Cricetulus griseus: one gene and its partners. The protein of the gene in region 3 purifies or fractionates together with the protein of the main gene of each other region. This does not show direct contact. Links are inferred from orthologs where the notes say so. Each region holds a gene or a part of one and is shown on either strand. Other genes may lie near its edges. The genes, in order: Rnmt, Kpnb1, Kpna6 and Chd8.

What was found.
Region 1: the proteins of Kpna6 (region 3) and Rnmt purify together in Homo sapiens (co-immunoprecipitation; 3 studies listed by BioGRID and IntAct, counting the BioPlex papers as one, with this or other methods). This does not show direct contact. The link is inferred for Cricetulus griseus from reciprocal best matches to the Homo sapiens genes KPNA6 and RNMT.
Region 2: the proteins of Kpna6 (region 3) and Kpnb1 purify together in Homo sapiens (affinity purification with mass spectrometry; 4 studies listed by BioGRID and IntAct, with this or other methods). This does not show direct contact. The link is inferred for Cricetulus griseus from reciprocal best matches to the Homo sapiens genes KPNA6 and KPNB1.
Region 4: the proteins of Kpna6 (region 3) and Chd8 purify together in Homo sapiens (affinity purification with mass spectrometry; 4 studies listed by BioGRID and IntAct, with this or other methods). This does not show direct contact. The link is inferred for Cricetulus griseus from reciprocal best matches to the Homo sapiens genes KPNA6 and CHD8.

The regions. Positions count from the first base shown.
Region 1 is NC_048595.1:171,101,490-171,105,637, forward strand, and holds the start of Rnmt (mRNA cap guanine-N7 methyltransferase), read right to left. Parts: upstream 2,806-4,148; 5' UTR 2,660-2,805; intron 2,437-2,659; exon of another isoform or gene 2,279-2,436; intron 1-2,278. UniProt on the Homo sapiens protein: Catalytic subunit of the mRNA-capping methyltransferase RNMT:RAMAC complex that methylates the N7 position of the added guanosine to the 5'-cap structure of mRNAs. Binds RNA containing 5'-terminal GpppC.
Region 2 is NC_048600.1:110,325,240-110,328,805, forward strand, and holds part of Kpnb1 (importin subunit beta-1), read right to left. Parts: intron 3,226-3,566; coding exon 3,166-3,225; intron 2,513-3,165; coding exon 2,423-2,512; intron 2,020-2,422; coding exon 1,909-2,019; intron 1-1,908.
Region 3 is NC_048595.1:23,370,873-23,374,438, reverse strand, and holds part of Kpna6 (importin subunit alpha-7), read right to left. Parts: intron 3,252-3,566; coding exon 3,152-3,251; intron 1,767-3,151; coding exon 1,672-1,766; intron 247-1,671; coding exon 115-246; intron 1-114. UniProt on the Homo sapiens protein: Functions in nuclear protein import as an adapter protein for nuclear receptor KPNB1. Binds specifically and directly to substrates containing either a simple or bipartite NLS motif.
Region 4 is NW_023276807.1:207,296,680-207,300,245, reverse strand, and holds part of Chd8 (chromodomain-helicase-DNA-binding protein 8), read left to right. Parts: intron 1-58; coding exon 59-239; intron 240-318; coding exon 319-408; intron 409-880; coding exon 881-984; intron 985-2,165; coding exon 2,166-2,295; intron 2,296-2,880; exon of another isoform or gene 2,881-2,990; intron 2,991-3,566. UniProt on the Homo sapiens protein: ATP-dependent chromatin-remodeling factor, it slides nucleosomes along DNA; nucleosome sliding requires ATP. Acts as a transcription repressor by remodeling chromatin structure and recruiting histone H1 to target genes.

The DNA of each region.
Region 1 (4,148 bases), about 150 Mb from region 3:
ATCAACAAAATTGGAGACCATGATATCTCAGGTTCTAAAAGTAATGAAGACATGCAGTGGTTTGAATGAGAATGGCCCTCATAGGTTCAAATATTTGATCTCAGTTAGTGCTACAGTTTGGCAGGAACTAGAAGGTATATCCTTGGTGGAAGAGGTCATGTCACCATGAGTGGGCTTTGTAGTTTCAAAAGTCAGGTTATTCCCAGATAGCACTCTGCCCTGTGCTTCTGAATCAAGATGTAAACTCTTCAGCTATTGCTCCAGAACCTGCCTGCTGCCATGTCTGTGAAGTGATTGTCATGGACTCTAAACCTCTGAAACTGTAAGCCCAAAATAAACTCTTGTAAAAGTTTGCCTTGGTCACAGTATCTTATCACAATAGAAGAATCACTAAAACAAGAGGTAAATTACTTTTAAAGTAAATTACTTTTAAAGGCCTTCTGCATAACAAAGAGAACATTATTTATATTAACAGGTAAAAACAAGTCACTGGAAACTGAGGATTTCAGGAGACACTAGTTTTCACTAGCTTTGAATATTGACTCAAAGTAACAGAATATCAAAATACGTTATATAGGAACAACTGAATCAGAGAACAAAACAAAATCAAGTAGGAAAATAATTTACAGAGTAACTACTATAAATCAGTATCAAGGAAAATTGCTCATCGAATTATCAAAACTCTTATTTCTCCTCTAGCATTTAATGCCTAGAAGAAACTTTTACAATAAGACCATGCAAAATGTTATTTTTAGCTGTAATTATTGCCTAAAATTATTAGTATTTAAGGGTGGTTTTTATTCAGTTTATACTTAGTTTATACATAGATTAGCTGTCATAAAAGCATCCATGACTACAAAATGGTTGCAAATGTCTAGAATTATGTGTCAAACAATTCAATTATAGAGTGCTTTATTTGGTACACTAGAAAGCAATAGATCTTACCTAAAAGAGGATGGGAAACAGTTTATTCTGGAGCCAAATTTGTGTGACAATGGCTAAGGGATACAGATTAAATACTCAAATTCCATGTTCTAACATGCTAACGGTTCCAGTAAGTTTTATAATAACAGAAGAAAGAAAATCCTAAATCCAAACAAATACATGGGTGGAAATGTCAGATAGGTGGGTCACAGAAAAGCAAGGAAATCTCAACTATAGGACCCAAATGCTATCTGACAGCATCGTTGGCCTTTCAGTTGGTCAGAACCAGAGGTCTGTTTATACATTCCTAAGGATTTACCTAATGTTCACAAAAATGTTAGGTTGCATATAGAGCAGAATGGCTAGTAAGGAGGCTAAAGGTGGGCCAACATAAGTAGGATCTGGACTTGCAACATTCCATCTTATCCGAATCACCGAAGTTCTAAAAATCACCAAGATTCTAGTCAACAGCTTTGTAGTGACAGCTGCTTTCTAGGAATTCTGGTTCACAAGAGCATTCTCAAGGCTCTGGGTTTGATCCTCAGCTTTCCACCAATATTAATAATAATAAAACTATCAATAATGATAGTGAAAATACTTAAAAGAGAGATGTCCCTATAGAACAATGGAGAAAGGATTTTGTGATAAAAAAATAGACTGACTTGGAGATGGGTATTTTGACCTGGCTCTGATCACATTGTAACTTGCCTCACAGAAATCAAGATATTCTAAAGAGACCAGGGTCTCTTGATCTATTAAACTGTTGAAACAACGAAGGGGAGGTTGAGGGAGGGGGAAGGGAGAGACGAGGAAGAGTGAGAGAGGGGAGAGAGAACATGAATGAATTATTTCCCCTAGGAATCTTATGCTGAGAGAAAGGAAAGAAACAAGCCAAAGGGAGTAAGAACACTTTACAGGAAAAGACTGAAGCCCAGGCAAAGATGTGGGGCCGCCTACCATTCCCCGCATCTTTGCTAGGCGGCCCCACACCTAGGCCAAACATAATTTTTCTTGCCTCCTACTTAAACCTCACCCTCATTTCAAGACCCACAAAGACGTGTCACACAGAGTAAATCTCCTTTTTCTGCTTTCCATTATTAACTTGGCTCTGTTAATTGTTTTACTGAGGTGGCAGAACCGTGCTTGTTGGGGTGTGCACAGGCTATGTGACCCGCCATAAGTTCGGTAACGTCCCAAAAGTAAATCATTTCTCTCGGTCGTCCCAGTTTCTGCCTGCTAGCTAACGGTCAAGCACGACCTCGAACGACCACCTTGACCGTCTACAGCGGGGTGCAAGCCGATGAAACTGAAGGAGGGGGGCAAGCAGCTCTCCAAGTTCATCTGTCCCCCTTACCGGCCCCGCTGTTACTCAACCTCTCTGGTGCAGGTTCCTACGGCTCAGCTCCAGACAGAACAAACCGTCTTTCGGTCCCAACACCTCACCCGGCCCATCGCAGCCTCATAACAGCCCCGCGGCCCGAGAAGAAGCACTGGGGCTTCTCCTCCCTGGGCCAGTGTGGTCTGGAACAGCGCCCACCGTCTCAAGACAAGCAGTGCCCACACTGCTTCCGGCTCCGGGCACAATGAACCCCACGAGGCAAGGACCGAAGGCAGGAGGCTGAAGAGAAGCGAGCCCAGCCAGGCGTCTGGGCGTTCGGCCCGTCTTTGCTCTTAGCGCCCAGGACTAAAGACAAAAGAAGCCAGGAAAGGCCAGAACGCCGAACGCCACACTCACCCACACAGTCATCCACGATTCTGTTTGCGGAAACGCCGGCCGGCGCCACGCGTGCCTTGTTACGTCACTTCCGGGGAGTGCGCCCGGGATTAGCAACCAGCCTTGGAGCGTAGCCTCCTCCGCGCCGGAACTACGAGTCCCATGGTTCCTCGCGCGGTGGCGTGCCTGTGGACCTGCGAGCGGGCACGGTGGGTCGGAGCACGTTGCTAGTGGGCGCGGCTGGCCTGGGCGGTGGAGGCCTAGCGTTCGCCTGGGTCTTGTGACACCGCACCCTGCACCAGGCTTGGCCCGGTCGCCTTGCCGAGGCAGCTTCTTCCGGCCCGTGCGGCGGGATTCCGTGGAGACCCCCGCCCACGTCCTGAGAGGTAGCCTGGGTCCATGTTCGCAGTGGGGCTTCGGGAGGGGGCCAGAGGGCACCTTCACCGCGGGCGGGTGTCTGACGGCAGCGAGGCGCGCCGCGCACGGTGTGTGGCGGCCTCCGTCCTGCAGGCGGGAGTCGTCAGCACTCCAGAGCCCACCGCTGGGGCCGGTCGAAAGAGGTCACCCCTGTCCTAGGTCCTTCTGGAGTCCTGGCAGCCTTCGCTCCTCCTGGTGCGGTTTTACACCCTCTTGCGTTATGGTCCTTAACGCCCTGCTCTTCCGTCCTTGCTAGTTGCTGTGTCCTTTCAAAAATAACGATCAGCTTCACCTTTGGGAGTGACGGGCCATTTCTTATCGCCTTGCTTGTAGTCAGGCCATACTCTTGAGGGAGGCATACCGTTATAGGCTTTCACCTCAACATTAGGGTCAGAACTTAGTAGACTCTACCTGTGGAGTGCCTCACCATCCCTCCATCAAAGTGGTGGGAAAACCACAATCAGATTTGCAGTGTCTCCTGAATTACTCTAAAGCAAATTCGACCCGTCCCAAGCAGCTTTGAAAGTGTGCTTTGCTCCTCTAAATATTTGTTTGGAGGCACTTTTATTAACATGGCCTTGGTGTAGACAAGTTTGCAGTATGCACCTCCCACTTGCAGTTTGTGGACATTAGCCCTTCTGAGGTTGTCAACTCCTTTATTAACTTTGAACTAAACGGCTTACTTTTAACAAGTATGAGAAATCAATTTCAGATAACCGGGATTGTGTATTCTATTCTATGACATTATCCAGGTTAAGAGTTAATTTTCTTTCATGAGTATGAACAAATGCAAAGGTCTTGTGGATCCTGAGCCCCAAAACGCTGTGTGCTTATTGAATGAAGCATTGGAGTTTGTTGGATCCAATGATTGAGTTTTGTTTTGTTGTTTTTTCTCCAGATATTTCTATTGTCATCTTAGAGAAAATGAACCTAATTTTGACATAAAAAAAAAAAAAACTTCCATTATGTAGCCCAGGCTGGACTTAAACTCATGATCCTATGTCAGGCCTCCCTAATGCTGGCATTGCAGACAGACCCCAGCCACACGTCTTAAATTTTTCTCTTAATGAGTTTAAAGCCTCTTAACTCCTTG
Region 2 (3,566 bases), on a different chromosome or scaffold from region 3:
AGAGGAACAGAAGTAGTTCAGGGTCATAGACAGATGTATACAAAGTAATGGTGTGTGTGTGTGTCTAGGGTCAACCTTGAATACATCTAAAAAAAAAAAAAAACTTAATTCATAAATTCATATTAATAACCTGCTATCCAGAGGTAACAACTCAGTGGGCAAAATGCTCACCTTGGTTTTGCAGAGTTCCATCTCAACACACACACACACACACACACACACACACACACACACACACACACACACACACACACACACACACGCTGGAGAAATGGCTCAGTGGTCAAAAGCACTGTCTGCTCTTCAATTCCTAGCACCCACATGGTAGCTCACAACTATAACTCCAGTTCCAGGGAATCGGACACCTTCATACCAATGCATATACAACAAAGTTAAGTAAGTTATAGCCAACAGTGGTGGTGAACGCCTTTAATCCCAATACTTGGGAGGAGAGGCAGGCCTGGTTCGAGGCTAGCCTGGTCTACAGAGTGAGTTCCAGGATAGTCAAAGCTGCATAGTGAGACACTGTCTTGAAAAACCAAGGAAAAAGCCGGGCTATGGTGCCGCACAGCTTTAATCCCAGCACTCGGGAGGTAGAGACAGGCGAATCTCTGTGAGTTCGAGGCTACCCTGGTCAACTGAGCAAGTTCCAGGACAGCCTCCAAAACAATACAGAGAAACCCTATCTTGAAAAGAACAAAAACAAAAACAAAAAGAAAATAAAAAAACCAAGGAAAGTAAAACAGAAAACTGGATGTGTAGCCAAGTGTAGTGACAATGCCTTTAATTACAGTGCTTGGAAGGAGGCAGAGATGGGGATCTCTGAGTTCTAGGACAGCTGGAGCTACATAGGAAGACCTTGCTTCAAAAACAAAATAAACAACAAACCCAGCTGAGTATGATTTACAAGTTTATAGTCCTAGTACTGAGGTACAGAGATATGTGGATTATGGGTGCACTGGCCACCAGCATTATCAGCAAGTCCCAAGTTCAGTGACATAACTTACCTTAAAAAACAAACAAAAACCACACCACACACACAGGGTGGGCAACACACAGAGCAGTGCACATTAAAATCAATAAATTCTGACACATAATGTTCTTTTGGCTCAATGCACATAAGAGCTGGGCAGTTAGCCGGATGGTGGTGGCGGAGGCAGGTGGATCTCTGTGAGTTTGAACCAGCCTGGTCTACAAGAGCTAGTTCCAGGACAGCCTTCAAAGCCACACAGGAAACTGTCTTGAAAAACAAAAAACAAAAACAAAACACAAAAACTGGGCAGTGGTGTCCATGCCTTTAATCCCAGCACTCAGATAGCAGAGGCAGGAGGATCTCTGAGTTCAAGGCCAGCCTGGTCTACAGAGTCAGTTTCCAGGACAGCCGGGACTGATACACGAAGAAACCCTGTCTCGAAAAACCAAAAAACAAAAACAAAAGAAAAACCAAAAGGATGCAACAAGTTGCATAAATAAGGCCAGGGTGTAGGGAAGGCTGTATTGGGATATACTGGCAGGGCCGGAAGCATAGCTCCAGAGTCAGAATTCCAAGTCAAAGATAGCCTTCCCCTTATTCAGAGCTCATAAGTTGTTCTCAATTATGCACTTGAGCTTGTATTCAGATTTCAAAAGGGAAAAATTTCCTATCAGCTACCGCCTCAATATCAATAAACTGACAACCTGCTGCCCCCTTGTGTTCAATGAAGAATTATCAGCACAAATACCTGAAACTGGAAAAAGCATGAGCTGTCTCAGTATTAAGGGGATCTGGCTAGCAGAAAAACCACAATCCTATAAGGACAGTAGCCCGGTCAGAATGGAACGCTTCTAGAAGAATGATACCCACAAACAAAATGTGTAAGATCTCAGCAGAACAGCAGCTCTTCTCAAAACGGCTCACCCCAAGCTTACCTCTGAAGCCTCAATGGCCAAATCCATTTCCTCATCGCAGACGTTGGACCAAAATTCTATTCCTTGTAGGGCCACTTCATCAATGTCACTTTTCATTGCTTCAATTGTGATCTTAAAGAGGGAAAAAAAAGATACCCCAGAGCCCAAGTAAGTACAGATTTACGTTAGACATCCAAGTTAAATTTTTTTTTAACAATCAAAGATAGTACACATTTTCTTGGCACACCACTGGTAAATTTACCATTCATGCAGGGCTCATAGCTGTAATCTCAGCCCTTTAAGGAGACTGTTGAATTTGTGGCCATCCTGAATTACATAGTGCAATCCAGACCAACTAGTGTGAAATAATGTCTCACACTAAATAACAAGCCCTAACACTCATACTCAAGTAGTCTTCTTGACTTCATGTTAAGTTAAAAAAAAAAAAGAAAAACTCCACAAAAATCACAAAATAGCAATTAAAAGCAATGAGCCCTGTAACTAGTTACAAGTTCAAATTACATAAAATACTTACCGCAAAAAGGGCAGGACCCATATATGTCTCCATGTACTGGTAATACAATGACATTATCTTCACTAGATTCTGTAAAGCAGCCACTCTTACCTTTAAGAACAGATGAAACAGTTACTATGTAACTAAACAGTCTGCACAGGTAGACCTAATAAACTAAGGATACCTTCTTAATGTTGTCATTTGACCCCAATCAATCCCTCCATTTTCACTGTTTCTTCCTTCTCATCCTGCCTCCCGCCATGTTTTACCAATGCCTGAACAAACTCACGCTGCTTAGACTGAAGATGTCCCTTTCACTAACTCCAAGGGTCCAGTTTAGGTTACAGCAATAGCAATGCCATTTCTATGATGAGGATAATCATGGCAACAACTTGAGGCACCAAATCAGCAAAGTTAATCAAAACCTCCTTCACACCTCTTAAAGGGTAACAGTCTCCAGTGTAGAAAACTTTCACTATTAAATTTAGTCAAAGCTGGGCGGTGGTGGCGCACACCTTTAGTCCTAGCATTCGGGAGGCAGAAGCAGGCCGATCTCTGTGAGTTCGAGACCAGCCTGGTCTACAAGAGCTAGCTAGTTTCCAGGACAGCTTCTAGGGCCACAGAGAAAACCTGCCTCAAAAACCAAAACCACCACGGGGGGTTTAGCCAAACCTTGTTTAATTAATTGATTCCCTAAATTTCAAACTGGATGACTGAACCTAGGAAGATAGGGACAGACAATTTTCATAAAGCAACAAACTTACCCTTGTATCTGGACACTGTGTGGCTTCACAGACCACTTGCATGATAAAGTGCCGTTCAGACTGCAAAAAAATAAAGAACATTAGCAATGCATTAACTGCATGTAGGAAGGTCTGAAGATCTACAAAGAAAATCTGTAGCTAAGTCAAGGCCCTGCAACATTCTGGTACAATCTAACACCCTTCCCTGAGGCAGTAAGGGCTATAAGCAGTTTGCCTCTGGTGTCTTCAGTATGACCCTTCCTTCCCTCTAAGGAAGTCTTTAATCTTTTAATTCCCAAGGTGACCTTCCCAAACAAGGTATCAGAGAGGAGGCAGACAGGAAGATGTAGGTCACAAGGTTTAAACAACAGCTAGTGGGGGAAAAAAAAAAAAAAAAAAAAACCCTACATGTAGGAAAACCA
Region 3 (3,566 bases):
CTTGTATCTCCCAAGTGCTGGGATTAAAATTATGTGCCAATGAGCTTGTCCTAAATATAAATTATTACTATACTGTCAGTACCATCAAAACTTTAATCAACTCTTGAGCATTACCTGTTCTTGTACATCTTCAAAGTCTGAGTTAAGCAGCTCTATAAAAATGGGGACAGCTCCTGCTTCAATGACAATTTTGGTCTGCTGAGAAGTTCCGGAGGCAATGTTTGTCAGAGCCCAAGCAGCTTCAAACTGAAAGTGAGATTAGGCCACAAATGAGAAGTCCTTTTAGGCACAGCAACCGGCCTGCCGTCTGCCTTAAACAGCAAAGCTCTAGCACATAAAAAACCAAAACCAAATTCATGTCTTCGCTTCAGTTTTTTCATCTCTGAAACAAGGGTAAGAGTAATAGTGTGGGGCCAGGCGGATCTCTGAGAGTTTGAGGTCAGTCTTGTCTACAAGGCTACACAGAGAAACTATGTCAGTGTGCTCTCTCCCCCTTCCCTTCTTCAAGGTCTTACTCTGTAGCCAAGGCTGGCCTAAGCTTTTGCTTCTGGGCTCTATGTGCTAGAAGTATAGGCATGATCCACTGTCCCTGGTTGAGATGGCTGTCAACCCACTGTCTGCTGTGTCTAAATTTCTGATGGACTTGCTCATTATCTGTTTCTAGAAAATAGAGACCCAGAGAGGCAGGATGATTGATCTGCATCAGGTCACCAAGTTAGAGGTATAATAGGCCCTCTGATTTATAATGACAATCAGTGTATCGCATTCTGGGATCTCTGAAATCAAAACTTTTCTTCATGAGCTTTCTTTCTTTCTCTTTCTTGAGAAATGGTCTTGCTATGTAGCCCAGGCTGGTATCAAACTTGTGGCAGTTCTCATGCCCCAGCCTGCTGTATGCTGAAAATATTTGTGTATGCTGCCACATCTGGCTTCAAATATTTTTTTTTTCATCATGTACAACATGTTTTATGTATATATACATTGTGGAAACTGAGCCAGGTTCACAAATTACCTCACATAATTATTGAGATCTTTTTTTGTTTTGTTTTGGTTTTATTTTGTTTTGGTTTTCGAGACAGGGTTTCTCTGTGTAGCTTTGGAGCCTATCCTGACAGTCGCTCTGGAGACCAGCCTAGCCTCGAACTCACAGAGATCTGCCTGCCTCTGCCTCCCAAGTGCTGAGATTAAAGGTGTATGCTATCACTGTCCAGCAGGATATTTTTCTTAAAAAAAATAAAAAAGACACTCAAAGTGCAGACTTGGCTGGCTTCAAACAGAGATTTGTCTTTCTTTGCTCGGTTGCAAAGGTTGTGCTACCACACCCAGCCCTGAAACAGATTTTAAGGAAGATACTTCAATTGATAGTTTCTCTATATTACTTTTCCATTCCCTTAAGATAGGCCTACAGGGGGCTGGAGAGATGGCTCAGAGATTAAGAGCACTGGTTGTTCTTCCAGAGGTCCTGAGTTCAATTCCCAGCAACTACATGGTGGCTCACAACCATCCGTAATGAGATCTGGTGCCTTCTTCTGGCCTGCAGGCATACATGCAGGCAGAACACTGTATACGTAATAAATAAATCTTTAAAAAAAAAAAAAAGATATGCCTGCAGAAACCCACTGTGAGTTCTTGAGAACTTTGACCCACCGTCTCATGCCTGAGCGCTTTTACCTGTAATGTACAATTCTCACTCCTTTTCAGAAACTCCACAAACCGGTCAACTACTCCTGGAGTGTTAATAACTTCATCTATTGGAGGACTCGGCTCTAGAGGGAGATAGGAAAGACACCAAAAGTCAGGGAAGCTTTGCTGATCCATTCACAGTTTTGGATGCTTCTGACCACTCTTACAAACATTGCAAAACTGTCTTTGCTCATCTACAAACTGCATGTTACAAGTATAAAGGCAAACCTATTTTAGATATGCTCAGCTATGGCTTACTAAATGTGAACATAACAGAAAAGGAATGAAAAAAGTCCAAGGAACGCAACCCTATCCTACTTCACTGCTTTTTTCTTGGGAGGGATGTTTAATATGCTCAAGCAGCAAGAGATTCTTTTGCTATCATATACCTTGTTTTCAGGACGGAAAACCAATAGCAGAGCCTTGCACATCTGATACATCAAATTTTTATAGAGCAACTCGGTAAGACAGTTCTAGACACTAAGGATAGAGTATGAACCAAGCCAAAGTCCCTGCACTCACAGAACTTAGTGTGGCAGTGAAAGGTGGGCTGTTAGAAAGCAGTAGTAAGGATAGTCTTCTACTTTTATCAAGACATAGTTTCACTGTATAAACCCAAGCTAGCCTGGAACTCACAGAGATCCACCTGCCTCTGAATCCCCAGTGCTGACATTAAAGGTTATTTGCTATCAATACCTGGCTGTACCAGAACTGGGGAGGTTAAGGCAGGAGTATCTTGAATTCAAGAATAACAAGACTATCTTTTAAAAAAATGAAGGAAAAGAAAAGGAGGAAAGAAAAACGAAGAGTTTCATCTGTATACTCTTCTCTAACACATTTTAAGAGTCAGAAAACAGGACAACAGGCTTCATTAACAAGTTGTAACTGGCTGGACAGTGGTGACACTCGCCTTTAATTCCAGCACTAGGGAGACAGAGGCAGGTGGATCTTTGAGAGTTTAAGGCCAGCCTGGTCTACAGAGAGTTCCAAGACAGCCAGAGCTACACAGAGAAACGCACTCTGGAAAAACAAACACAATAGAAAAAGGTGTAACTGGGGGCTGGAGACACAGCTCAGCGTTAGAGTACTCACTGCTTTTGCAGAGTTCTGTCCTCAGCACCTATCCATGCATGCCAAGCGACTCAGAAGAGATTCTACCTCCAGCTCCAGAGGATCTGACATCCTCTTCTGGCCTCTGTGAGCACACATACTCATGTGGCATACACACATAATTAAAAACTCTTAGGGAAAAAAAGGATAGGTGAAAGAAATGCTGATAGAATTTTTGAGAAAAGAAGAATTAGCAGAGGGAATATCAAGTGTTAATGTGGGAATGTGCCTGACTTTTTCAAAGAAAACCTGGCCAGGAAGAAGGCTACAGTAGAATGAGCAATAGGTAGTAGTTAAGTAAAAAGAGTCAAGAGGCTAAGTCATACAGCACCTCTCTGAGAAGGACCCGGCTTTATACCTTTGGAGAGGAGTTTCCGGAATTTCTGTGTGGTTGCTAACTGTAAGTCAGAATCGTCAGAAAAGAGCATCTCCACCATCTCTCTTGTGATCACACTCTCCTAGAAAATAAAATAGGTTGATGACCTTGTGGATAATAATAAAGCCAAATGAAAGCATATCATTCTGCATGGCTTCCTGCTTTTTAAGAGCCTCAAGTAAGAGAATGGCATAGTAGATCCAAGTCTGCTTCAAGATACAATATTTGAAAGCGATTCCTAATCTGTGATGTAACCAATGATGTCCTTGAATGTTTTTTTCAAATTCTTTGCATCCTTGCTGAGTGGTTAAGCTGACTGACCACAAAAGGCAAGGAAGACCATAACATGATTACAAAGATACGAGATGGCATGGCTACCCAACTTCTGCTCTGAGAA
Region 4 (3,566 bases), on a different chromosome or scaffold from region 3:
CATTTTTCTACAAGGTATTTAAGTCCTTTTCAGGTGTAAGGGTTTTTCTCAATCCAAGTCTTTGATGTCGCCCCTTTCCCAGGTCTGTCTATCCCTGTGCCCCGTGGGCGGAAAGGGAAAAAAGTAAAGTCACAAAGTACTTTTGACATTCATAAGGCAGACTGGATCCGGAAATATAACCCTGATACTCTGTTCCAAGATGAGAGTTACAAGAAGCACTTGAAACATCAATGTAACAAGTAAGAGCACTCACTATTCAGATAAGTCTGAATGAAGGCTTGCTACATTGTTGCTAAGGTATCTCTTTCTCCCTTCTAGGGTACTGCTAAGAGTAAGGATGCTGTATTACCTGAGGCAGGAAGTTATTGGAGACCAAGCAGAGAAGGTGTTAGGGGGTGCCATAGCGAGGTACGGTTACTTTATTTAACATTTTATTCATCTGTCATCTATTAATTATCTATTTGTCATTTTGTATTGTGGAGAGAACAGGGACATGCCATGACATGCTTGTCGGACAAGTTGCCAGTGTAGGTTTTTTTCTTATGTGGGTTCTAGGGATTGAACTCAGGTTGTTGGGCTTGGTAGCAAGCACTTTCACCTACTGAACCACCTCACCAACCTCTCATTCATTCTTCATTTTATTTCTTTCTTACTCCAGGACTGACTGGTTTGCTTACTTCTTTCTATACTGTCTTTGAGATATCTGATAATTAAAAAAATCTCTGCATCAGGCCTTTAATCTTGTATTTAGCACAAGTTCATAGAAATACAGCAGAAACAGAAGCATTTAAAGTAACAGATAAAGCAAGCAACCTTTAGTAATCTTTCAAAGGGTTATCACTTTTATTTCTAACATTGCTTTACTGACTTACACATTTAGTGAGATTGACATATGGTTCCCAGTAGTGGATCAGCTGGAGGTTCCAACAACATGGTGGGATAGTGAAGCTGACAAATCCCTGCTCATTGGCGTTTTTAAGCATGGTAGGTACCATCTCCAGTACTGCTTTTCTATCAAAGAAGTGTGTCAAAAGATAATACCTTTAACAAAGTGCTTATAAGTAATTCATCACCAGAAATTTTTAGTAAGAAATAGTTCTTAAATGTATGTAGCAAACTAGTTAGTTCTATAAGCAAATGTTCAAGGAATTCCAGATGGACACTTAAATCAAAGGCAGGGAGCCTCTGTCTGTTTTTTAACCATGATTACTATAATGTTACCTCTCTATGTATTGTGGGATCTACATTAACCATATTTTCAGTAATTTTTCTTATGTTATGCTCATCTGAATGTCTCACTTGTCTAAACAGTGAGTACTAATTTCTTAGCAGTTTTTGCCTAATAAGAAATTCCAGGCCGGGTTGTGGTGGCACACACCTTTAATCCCAGCACTCAGGAGGCAGAGGCAGGCGGATTTCTGTTGAGTTCGAGACCAGCCTGGTCTACAAGAGCTAGTTCCAGGACAGCCTCCGAAACCACAGAGAAACCCTGTCTCGAAAAACCAAAAAGAAAGAAAGAAATTCCAGGCATTAGAATCAGTGAATATTAGCTTTATCCTTTGATGTATTGGGATGTATTTTTTTTAAACATATTCTGTTTACTTCCAAAAATAAAGGTGCTTAATTTACATGTTTTTGACAAATGTAAAGGGCTAAGAAAAGTTGTGAGCAAGCCAGGTGTGGTAGTGCATCCTTTTAATCCAGCACTTAGAATGCAGAGACAGGCAGCTCTCGTGTGTCCCAGGCTAGCCAGGGCTACACAGAGAGATCCTATCTCAAAAAAACAAAAAGAAACAACAACAACAACAAAAAAGGTGGGCATTTGATTTACTAGTAAGACACAGAAGTTTAAAGTTAATATAAGTACTCACTGAGACTCTCTTTACTTTCAGGTATGTTACTAGTTCTTCATTTGAGAATGTGTGACAAAATCCATGTTATTACACTACTTTCATTTCTGTAAGAGTTGTAATCCAAAGATTATCAGTTAAATGACTGTATACACAATTTACCTTAAGATGAGTTACTTATTAAATTCTTGTCAATCACTAGATGAAAACCACAAAAGTCATAAATACAGTGTGGTATTAACACCTATCCAAGTTAGCTTGTAATGACAAAATGAATCTTTGAATGTTTTCAATCTATGGCCATTGTTCTTCTAGGCTATGAGAAATATAATACCATGAGGGCAGACCCTGCCTTGTGCTTCCTGGAAAAGGCTGGGAGGCCAGATGACAAAGCCATTGCAGCAGAACATAGGGTGTTAGATAATTTCTCCGACCTGGTGGAAGGGTAAGCATTGGTGTTCTTTCTTCACTTCTGTGTCTACTCCGTATTGCTTGTGCTGATATTACCTAACTCTAGCCTTGGCTGAATGAAGTAGGATTCCTTTTTGTTTTGCTTTGTTTTTGTTTTGAGACAGGGTCTCACAGAGTTCCAGGTCTCCCTGGCTGCCTGGAACTTGTTTTGTCAACCAGGCTGACCTCAAACTCAGAGATTCACCTGCCTCTCCCTCCTGAGTGAGATTAAAGGCATCTGCCACCATACCCAGCCCATCACTGGGATTCTTAATGGTAGTTATACTCATGTATCATAAGTTCTTACTGTAGGATAGGACCAGCAGATTGGACTCCAGACACTGGCCTTAATCACACATTGCCATCACTACAAGTGATGATCTGTGTTCTTCCCAGAAGGCTTACACAATGATCTCAGTGTAGCTGTAATAACTGAGAAGATAAACTACTTCTATTGAAAAATAATAGGCGGTTCTCATAGGTTACTTATGTGGCAGAGCTTTGGACAGTTTTAGCCCTGACTTGTAATTCCCCATGGTATCTGACACATTAAAAGGACTCATTTTACCTGGGGACATTGTCCCGATGATGAGTTGCCATGCTAATACTGAGTCACCAGGTAGGGCAATATTGCCCTGATTTGGGTGCCAGTGAGTTTAACAAAACTTCTCATGTGGAGACCTGAGGGACATTTTGCAATGATGGGTTTTGCTAAGGACTATCCATAAATTTCTGCCTGACCAAGACTGTTGATGACCACATCACCACTTGGTATAGGACCAATAAAAGAAATGCATTGATTGTAAATCATTCTGTCACCCCTTTGCTCAATAGCAAAGTAGTGAAAATTAATACATTAAAAAAAAATATGAACAGGGGGTGGAGAGATGGTGTCTTAGTTAAGGTTACTACTGCTGTGATGAAATACCATGAACAAAAGCCATTTAGGGAGGGAAGAGTTTATTTCACTCACAGTTCCAAGTAACAGTTGATTATTAAAAGTAGTAAGGGCAAGAGCTCAAACAGAGCAGGAACCTGGAGACAATCCACCTCCAATGGACTGGGGCCTAAAAAATGTCCTACTGGCCTGTCTACAGCCTATACAGGCATTTTCTCAATTGAGGTTCCCTCCCCTCAGATGACTCTAGCTTAATTTTAGATGACTCTGACTTAAATGTAACTAGCCAACACCAGTTGCTCAGTAGTTAAGAGCAATTTCAGCTCTTGGGTGTGTGTGTCTGTGTGTCTGTGTGTGTGTGTGTCTGT